2 linked regions of the Ovis aries genome follow. The protein of the gene in region 1 purifies or fractionates together with the protein of each later gene. This does not show direct contact. Links are inferred from orthologs where the notes say so. Each region holds a gene or a part of one and is shown in the gene's direction. Other genes may lie near its edges.

Region 1 (3,527 bases):
GTCTGTCATATAAAATGGCTAAGTGTTTGCATATAACCCACATTCATCCTCTTGTATAGGGGCTTCTCAGGTGACTGAGTGGTAAAGAATCTGCCTGCCAAGAATTTTTTTTCCCAAATATTTTCAATACACAGTTGACTTGTATCAAGTTGTAAACTAGCAAAAGAAGTAAAGAGAGTCCACAGTGTGCAAGGCAGTGTTGGTGAAGCAAACATATAGCCCATGCTCCCACCATCAATCCCCTTGCTTTCTCATGTGAGGTCTCCCCTACCTCTATCCTTCACTAAGCTTCTTCAGTTCTTCACTCATCTCAGACTTGACCTTTTGTATTAATCTCTCCTGTCCATGCCACCTACCAGTCTCTGCATAATTGCAATAACTTATCTGGACTCCTTCTCCCCAGGTCTTACACTGGGAAGAACTTGGTAAATGAGACTGAAAGGCTCATGTAAAGACAGTGTAATTATGGTTGTGAAATGTGAGATGAGCCAGACAGGAGAATATACTAAGGCCCTATTGAAGATTTGAGAACTCTTGGAAGCTACTACATTTAAAACAGGAATATGACAAGATCAGATATTCTTTTTTTTTTTTTTTTAAGATTTTGCCTTCAAGGCTGCAGTGCAGTGGCAGGATGGGAGTAACTGAGGCAAAACCCAGCAGATACCTTGAGTTGAGCAGGAGTTTAGGGTCCAGGGAGACCAAGGCAGGCAGAGTTTTTAAGACAGAGTACCTGAGAGGAAAGAGCCTGCACCTAGAGAGAATTCTGGAGGTCCATGGAATGTTCTCCCTCAGGTATTCAGCATGGCATTGATCAGTGTGCAAGGAAAGTACCCCAAAAAGATACCAAAGGATCAAACTGTTTCTAGATAACTATATCTCATGACAAAGCTTGAGAATATGTATAGAAATACAAAACTGTCAAACACCCAGCACAGTAAAATTCACAATGTCTGGCATCCAGTCAGAAATTATTAGGTATGCAAAAACAGAAGAATGTGACTGATGATAAGAAAATTTTAATCTGTTAAAAAACTGATCCTCAGTTGATACAGATGTTAGGATTAGCAGGTGAAAACATTAGAACGGTACTCCATGTGTTCAGGTTAAGTATAGGAATGGAAGAGAGGTTTTTTTTTTTTTTAAACAAATTGAACTTCTCAAGATGAAAATGAATATGAAGTATGAAAAAGTGGAACAGGCCCATATCACAAAAATCATGAATATTATGAAAGTTTTCAAAAGGACTTAGACTGAAATTAAAGGTGGCTTAGTATTGTTCATTTGTCTGTTCATCCCAAAATAAAGTGTTATTTTCATACAGCTCATATCAAAATCCAAATGGTATATTACTGACTAAGCAGTTCCACTTCTAGGAATTTATTCTGATAAAATTAAGTTCCTATGTACAGATATTTGTCATGGTATTATTTTCATCAGGGAAACAGGAGACCCACATAACAAAATAGAGCAGTTAAGTAATATATGTTATTTCCTTAAAATGGAATATTACATGAATGATTAAATTACATTGTAAGAGAATGCTAAAAAGTGGGAAAATGTTCGGAATAATCTGGACTATGGTATGTGAATTTTAGATAGATACTAAATGAGTAGTAGAATATAAACCAAGATATAGAAAAGTTATGTGGAGGGAGGTTGTAATTTATTTGTAAGTTTCTAGAGCTAAGTAAGGGCAGTATTACATGCCGGTTTTCCAGTATTACATCCCGGTTTCCAAATCTAGGAATGCTGTGCTGTTCTTTGGTGTTATACAACATTATATGAATTAAAAACAGAGGTATTCACGTGCATTTTTTAAATGTTACAAGATTTTATTCTTAAAATTTTCTTGTCTTTTTCCAGTCCTACTTGAGATTTCAAGAATTTTGAATACTGGATTAGATATGGAAACTCTGTCTATATGTGTGCGGCTTTGTGAACAAGGAATTAACCCAGAAGCTTTATCATCAGTTATTAAGGAACTTCGCAAGGCCACAGAAGCCTTAAAGGTAGAGATTCATATGTTCACTCACTCTGAATGAAAATGCTTTTGTTTAGAAAACAATTAATGCTGAAATTTTATGTGAATAATTCTAAACAAGGTTAAACTAACATCTGTCATCAGGAGAAATTCTGAAGGCCGGGATCTTAGTAGTGTATGTTCAGATCACAAAATACTCTATCTGAACCATGTTGTCTTTTTGTAAAATTATCTCTGATTATGTTTAGAATTCTGCTTGTGTTGGGGGTGATATTGTTTCTGCCCCCCTCCCCCAAAGATATGCTTAAGTGTGCAACACCTGTGAATATACCATGTTTGGAAATAGTGTATCTGTAGGTATAATCAAATTGCCATGAGATCATAATGGGTTAATGACCAGTGTCCTTATAAAGACAAGAGAAATTTGGACACAGATATACAAAGCACATACCCTGTGAGGACACAGAGGGGATGCTCTGTGATGACAGAGACAGAGATTGGAGTGATGGTGTTTACAAGACAAAGAAGGCCAAGGATTGTTGGCAGCCACCAGAAGGTAAGAGGCAAGGAAGGATACTCTGCTAGAGCCTTCAGAGGACTTCTGCCTCCAGAACTATTAGAGAATAATTTTGTGTTGTAAGCTACCCAATTGATGGTACATGTTTATTGCAACCCTAGAAATCTAATTTAGGTTTACTATTGGAAAGTGGAGTGCTGCTATAAGAAATACATAAAAATGTGGATGTGACTTTGGAATTGGGTAATAGGTAGAGGTTGGAAAGTTTTAGGGTGCTTGATAATAAAAGCCTGGATGGCCTTAAAGATTTGGTAGAATGATAGACATTAAAGGTGATTCTAGTGAGAGCTCAGAACGAAAAGAGCATCAGTCATCTCAGAGAATATGTCTATCATTATGAATAGAATCTTGTTAGAAATATGAACGTGAAAGGTGCCTGTCTGAGGTCTCAGACAGAAATGAACAACCTCGGGTGTTGGACCCTGGAGGAAAGGCCATCCTCGGTATAAAGAGCACTCAGCTGAATTATATTCTGCTGTTGGAAGGAAAATAAAACTTGTAAGCAATAACTTGGGTATTTAGCTAAGGAAATTTCCAAAGCATGGAAAGTAGGGCCTGGTTTCTCCTTGCTGCTTATGGTAAAATGTAAGGGGAATAGGAAATTGAGGAAGGAATAAGTAAAAAGAAACCAGCGCTCACTTTGGGAAGCTCTCAGCCTACCCAGATAGATCTCTGGAAAGAAGGCTGAGAGTGTAGCTAGATAACCTTTTGGTGAAGAGATTAGGTTGTGTGATTCAGATACAGTGAACATCTCAGTACAAAATCAGGCTAGCTTGACTTAAAGGGATGAAGAAAGGCTGTCATACTTCTGGGGTTCTGTAGGCGGCTGATGGAGCTGTTAGTGTGTGCACATCCTTGAAGGAAAGGGAAGAGTAGTCCAGAGGCCAAGAACTGCTGAGGCCAGATGGGCTGTGTTGCCAGCGTGGACCCAGAGGACCACCTTTTTTCAAATTCGCATCAACCACC
Region 2 (4,325 bases), on another chromosome or scaffold:
GCTTATCCAGAACTGCTTTATTTTTCATTCAGCTGTAGAAGCCCCCCCTACACTTGAGTTCCCTTGGAATCTGATCAGTAATACTTCCCTAGTTATGAATAAATCCAAACTCTGCTTGGCAGATTCTATGAAGACCTAAGTTCACTTCAGGAGATGACAACTCAGGGAAGCAGCAGTTCCATTTTCACACAGGATGACACAGACAGATTCTTTAAGCATATTTTTAGCCCTACTATCCCAGCTCAGAAAAACAAAACACTATTAGACACCCTCAATTTCCTTGCATATAAACCGTGGTGAAGGATGCTTCTCTAATTCCTTGGAACACGGAGAAGTCGTCTTAAGTGGCTTTGAAATGGGTGAAATCCCACAATTACTATTTCATAACTGTCTTCAAAAGCTTGTAATTTTCTTTCAAGTTGCAGTTATGGAGGCTCTCAAGGACTCCCAGACTTCGCAAACTTCCTGAGTGGGCAAAAAGATGTCTATCTAACATGCTAATTCAGGTCGTTTAAGCATGTTTCCTTGTTACACCTATGGATCCCTTTTCAAGATCTCACGCCTTACTCATCTACTCCAACAATAAGTACTAAGATCTCGAGGCTGTTGAGCAGACAAGAGAAGGGAGGTGATGGCCTTAACGGAACACAGCTTCTCTTGGCTAAAATGAGGCGCCTTCGCTCACTGCGAGCGGCGCAAGATGTTACTAGAAGCTCCTGCCAGATGTGCGGGGCGAGGGTGCACGTAAAGCAGGGGGAACAACTGGAAGGCCCTAAGAACTGCGGTGCCAAAGCCTCAGGCGGGATAGAGTGGAAGGAGGTGAGACAAAATTAGGCAGGTACAGGTAGGAGCCAGTGCAGCGAAGAAAACAAAGGAGGCGAGAGATAGAGCCTTAGAGAAACCTGACGAATTCGCGCCTCGGAGGGTTTCCGAGGATCCAGTTCTCTCACCAGAAAGCCGCGTTCAGCCCCAGGCACCACAGGGCGCTCCTGGCTGGCCGCTCCCACACCAGGGCTGCCTGCACTCGGCTCAGCAGAGGCTCGTAAGGCCCCAGCACCTCCACCAGGGCCCGCTGCGCCGCCTCAACCTGCTGGTCTCGCTCCCAGGAGCCTGACATAGGGCGGCGACCCTTGAAAGTCTGACCGGAGGCTGGGCCTGGGGCCACGGCCACCCCCTCTGCCTCCGCCATCTCCCCCCGGCAGCCACAACATCCGGGGCCACGGCCCGACAATCACAATAATCTCAACTGCGCAGATGCGCGAAACGGCGAGGGAGGCTGCATCCCTGCACACGCGCCTGCGCGAAGGCCCTTGGTCGCGTACATCCCAGAAAGAAGAACACTGCGTCAAAATTACGTCCCCGGCGCCCCAATCAGGAGCTGCGCACGCGCAGTCTGCAGGGCTGAAGCCGAACGAGTAAGGAAGTGCCCTCGCCAGAACTCAGTTTTCATTGGAACAGAGGAAGTTTGGGGGCGGGGCAAGTTTTGGCGTATGCGCAGTGTAACGGGCTAGCGAGCGGCGGCTTTGCTGGCGGGAGAGGCAGCTTTTCTGTGGCGAGAGCGGTAGCTTTGCTGTACAGAGCGGCTGCAACGCAGCTGCCAGAGGAGAGATGCCGAGGGAGATCATCACCCTACAGTTGGGCCAGTGCGGCAATCAGAGTGAGCGAACTTCCGGCCCCTCCACTAGCCAGGGTTTCTTAGGTTCTACGGGATCTCGCTGTGGGATCCTGAACTCCATCTGCCCTTCCCAGAATCGTAGTTCTCCGAAAGGTGGGACATGCCTGACCCAGTATCCAGCTGCTCAACCCCAAGGGGCCCTCCTCTGCCCAGTCGCTGATATACTGCCCTTTCCTCTGACACGAGAGACTCCCGAAGCTTGACTTCCTATCGCTGGACCCAGGCATTGAGTCCCCCAGCTCCTAGTTGGAACCTGCCCAGACCCAGATATCCTCTTTCTTCCCGCCCTCGTTCCTCCCGTCAGTTGGGTTCGAGTTCTGGAAACAGCTGTGCGCCGAGCATGGTATCAGCCCCGAGGGCATCGTGGAGGAGTTCGCCACCGAGGGCACTGATCGCAAGGACGTCTTTTTCTACCAGGTGCCCCCAGGGACTTAGCCAGGGCCGGTAGTGGCCCAGGGGTTCTGAAGGGAAGGGTAGTGGCTTGGTACTGGGAAGCCCACTAGGCAGAGGAGCCAGGGAGGCTGGCTTGAAGAGGGAGGGAGGCAGGATCAGGGTTGGGAGGACTGGAGGACTGGGCAGGCCCGAGCTGATTGGGCCCATCCTAAACTCCCCTTTACAGGCAGACGATGAGCACTACATCCCGAGGGCAGTGCTGCTGGACCTGGAGCCTAGGGTGATCCACTCCATTCTCAACTCCCCTTATGCCAAGCTCTACAACCCAGAGAACATCTACCTGTCGGAGCACGGAGGAGGAGCTGGCAACAACTGGGCCAGTGGATTCTCCCAGGTCATTTGCTGTTCCCTGGCAGAAGAACTCCACTCCTGCATGGGGACTGGCCCTATGACTTCCTAAAGAGAAGATAAACCAGATGGAGAATATATGAGTGGAGAGAGAGATGTGACTGAGGGGGTTCTGAGCGAACTATGTAATGGTCATAAGAGACTGCACTTGGCTCATGCCGGATGCCAGGCCATTGTTAGTGTTTTACATAAATTAACTTACCCAGACCTTCCAACAATCCTAGAGGTAGGTACTACAGGTCCACAGTCTCTGTAGGTTTCCAGAATCCAGAAAACTCTGAAACCAAAAGAGGATTTATAACTACTCATTTAGCAGCAAAACTGAATCTCAATAGAGATAAGCTAGTTTATAGTTTCTGTTCAACTTGCTGCCACTTCTCATTCCTTTCACTAAAGAAATATTAATGTATTTGGTTAGCACTGCTCAGACCCCTGCCCCACTGATGTTCTACTTAGCTTGTGTTATACACACCATATAGCCCTCCTAGAATCTGAAATATTTGAACTCTGAAACATAATGCCCCAAGAATTTTAGATAAGGCACTGTGGACCTGTATTAGTGCCTTCATTGTACAGATGAGGAAACTGAGGTATAGAGAGATGAAGTAGCACCCGACTAACTAGACCTAGAGCTAATATAGGCATTCAGGCAGTCTGGATGTAGAGACTCTGCTCGTAACCACCAGGCTGTACTACCTTTTAGTGCAAACAAAAAGCAGGACCACTGTGTTCCAAAAAGGACTTTTAGGTACTATAAGGAGAATGGAGGGTGGCTATTCCGAGGCCAAAGTCCTGCCCTTAGTCTTGTTGCTTAGTCCTGCCCCACTCTGATGCCCTCCATGTCTGTGCAGGGAGAGAAGATCCACGAGGACATTTTCGACATCATAGACCGGGAGGCAGATGGCAGCGACAGCCTAGAGGTGAGCATCTTAGGAATGCCGGTGACGGCCAGCAGGGGACCGCTAGGCAGCACCCTTTAGAAGCCATCTGTTAGGTGTGGGACCCTCCCCGTGCAGCCTTTGCACTGGACAGAAGCCACAGGGCCTTGTTGGAAATAACGAACAGTCTGCTAATCTGTGGGGGGGGGGGGGGGCGGTGGGGGAGGGAAGTGGAGGAGAGGTCTTGGGAAGATAGGAGTCCAAGAAGTTATGAGATGGGTAAAATTGGAAATCCTGCCACTTGAAACCTAGATACTGACCGCCCCTTCCCCATGCAGGGCTTCGTGCTGTGTCACTCCATCGCTGGGGGAACAGGCTCTGGCCTGGGCTCCTACCTCTTAGAACGGCTCAATGACAGGTAAGTCTGTTTTGAAGGGCAGAGAGGATTTGGTTTCCCAGGTGACTGGGAGGCCCTCCAGATAAAACCTTCCCATTCACTGGAGCAGGAAAGGGCCCTTCCGTTCCCTGCTGTATTGAGGAAGGAAAGGTACAATGACCAGGAACCCAATCACACTCCTAGTGGTTGGAACCAGAGTCTAGAATCCTGATCTTTGATGAAGATTCAGGGAGTAAGCCTGATTTGGAATTAAAACTCTAGGTCCTAAGATGTCTCTCTGCCCTTCCCCCCTTTTGGGTTACAGACTGCCAAAAGTCAGGTCTCCCTTCTCTGCTGTCCTATGACCCGAACCGCAATTTCCCCATCCTGACCGTCACTAGAAGCCCCAAGTTTACCAAGCCTCTAGTCTGTTGCCCTTGACCATCCTTTCGCAAACACCACTAGGTACCCCAAGAAGCTGGTGCAGACATACTCAGTGTTTCCCAACCAGGACGAGATGAGCGATGTGGTGGTCCAGCCCTACAACTCACTGCTCACGCTCAAGAGGCTGACCCAGAACGCTGACTGTGTGGTA

The links. The genes of interacting proteins can lie anywhere in the genome.
Region 2: the proteins of MZT1 (region 1) and TUBG1 purify together in Homo sapiens (affinity purification with mass spectrometry; 4 studies listed by BioGRID and IntAct, counting the BioPlex papers as one, with this or other methods). This does not show direct contact. The link is inferred for Ovis aries from reciprocal best matches to the Homo sapiens genes MZT1 and TUBG1.

The regions. Positions count from the first base shown.
Region 1 is NC_056063.1:48,080,227-48,083,753, reverse strand, and holds part of MZT1 (mitotic-spindle organizing protein 1), read left to right. Parts: intron 1-1,866; coding exon 1,867-2,012; intron 2,013-3,527. UniProt on the Homo sapiens protein: Required for the recruitment and the assembly of the gamma-tubulin ring complex (gTuRC) at the centrosome.
Region 2 is NC_056064.1:42,410,127-42,414,451, forward strand, and holds the start of TUBG1 (tubulin gamma-1 chain), read left to right. Parts: upstream 1-1,509; 5' UTR 1,510-1,608; coding exon 1,609-1,657; intron 1,658-1,979; coding exon 1,980-2,092; intron 2,093-2,294; coding exon 2,295-2,462; intron 2,463-3,327; coding exon 3,328-3,396; intron 3,397-3,692; coding exon 3,693-3,772; intron 3,773-4,195; coding exon 4,196-4,322; intron 4,323-4,325. Other genes in the region: RETREG3 (reticulophagy regulator 3), read right to left, coding at 951-1,189. UniProt on the Homo sapiens protein: Tubulin is the major constituent of microtubules, protein filaments consisting of alpha- and beta-tubulin heterodimers. Gamma-tubulin is a key component of the gamma-tubulin ring complex (gTuRC) which mediates microtubule nucleation.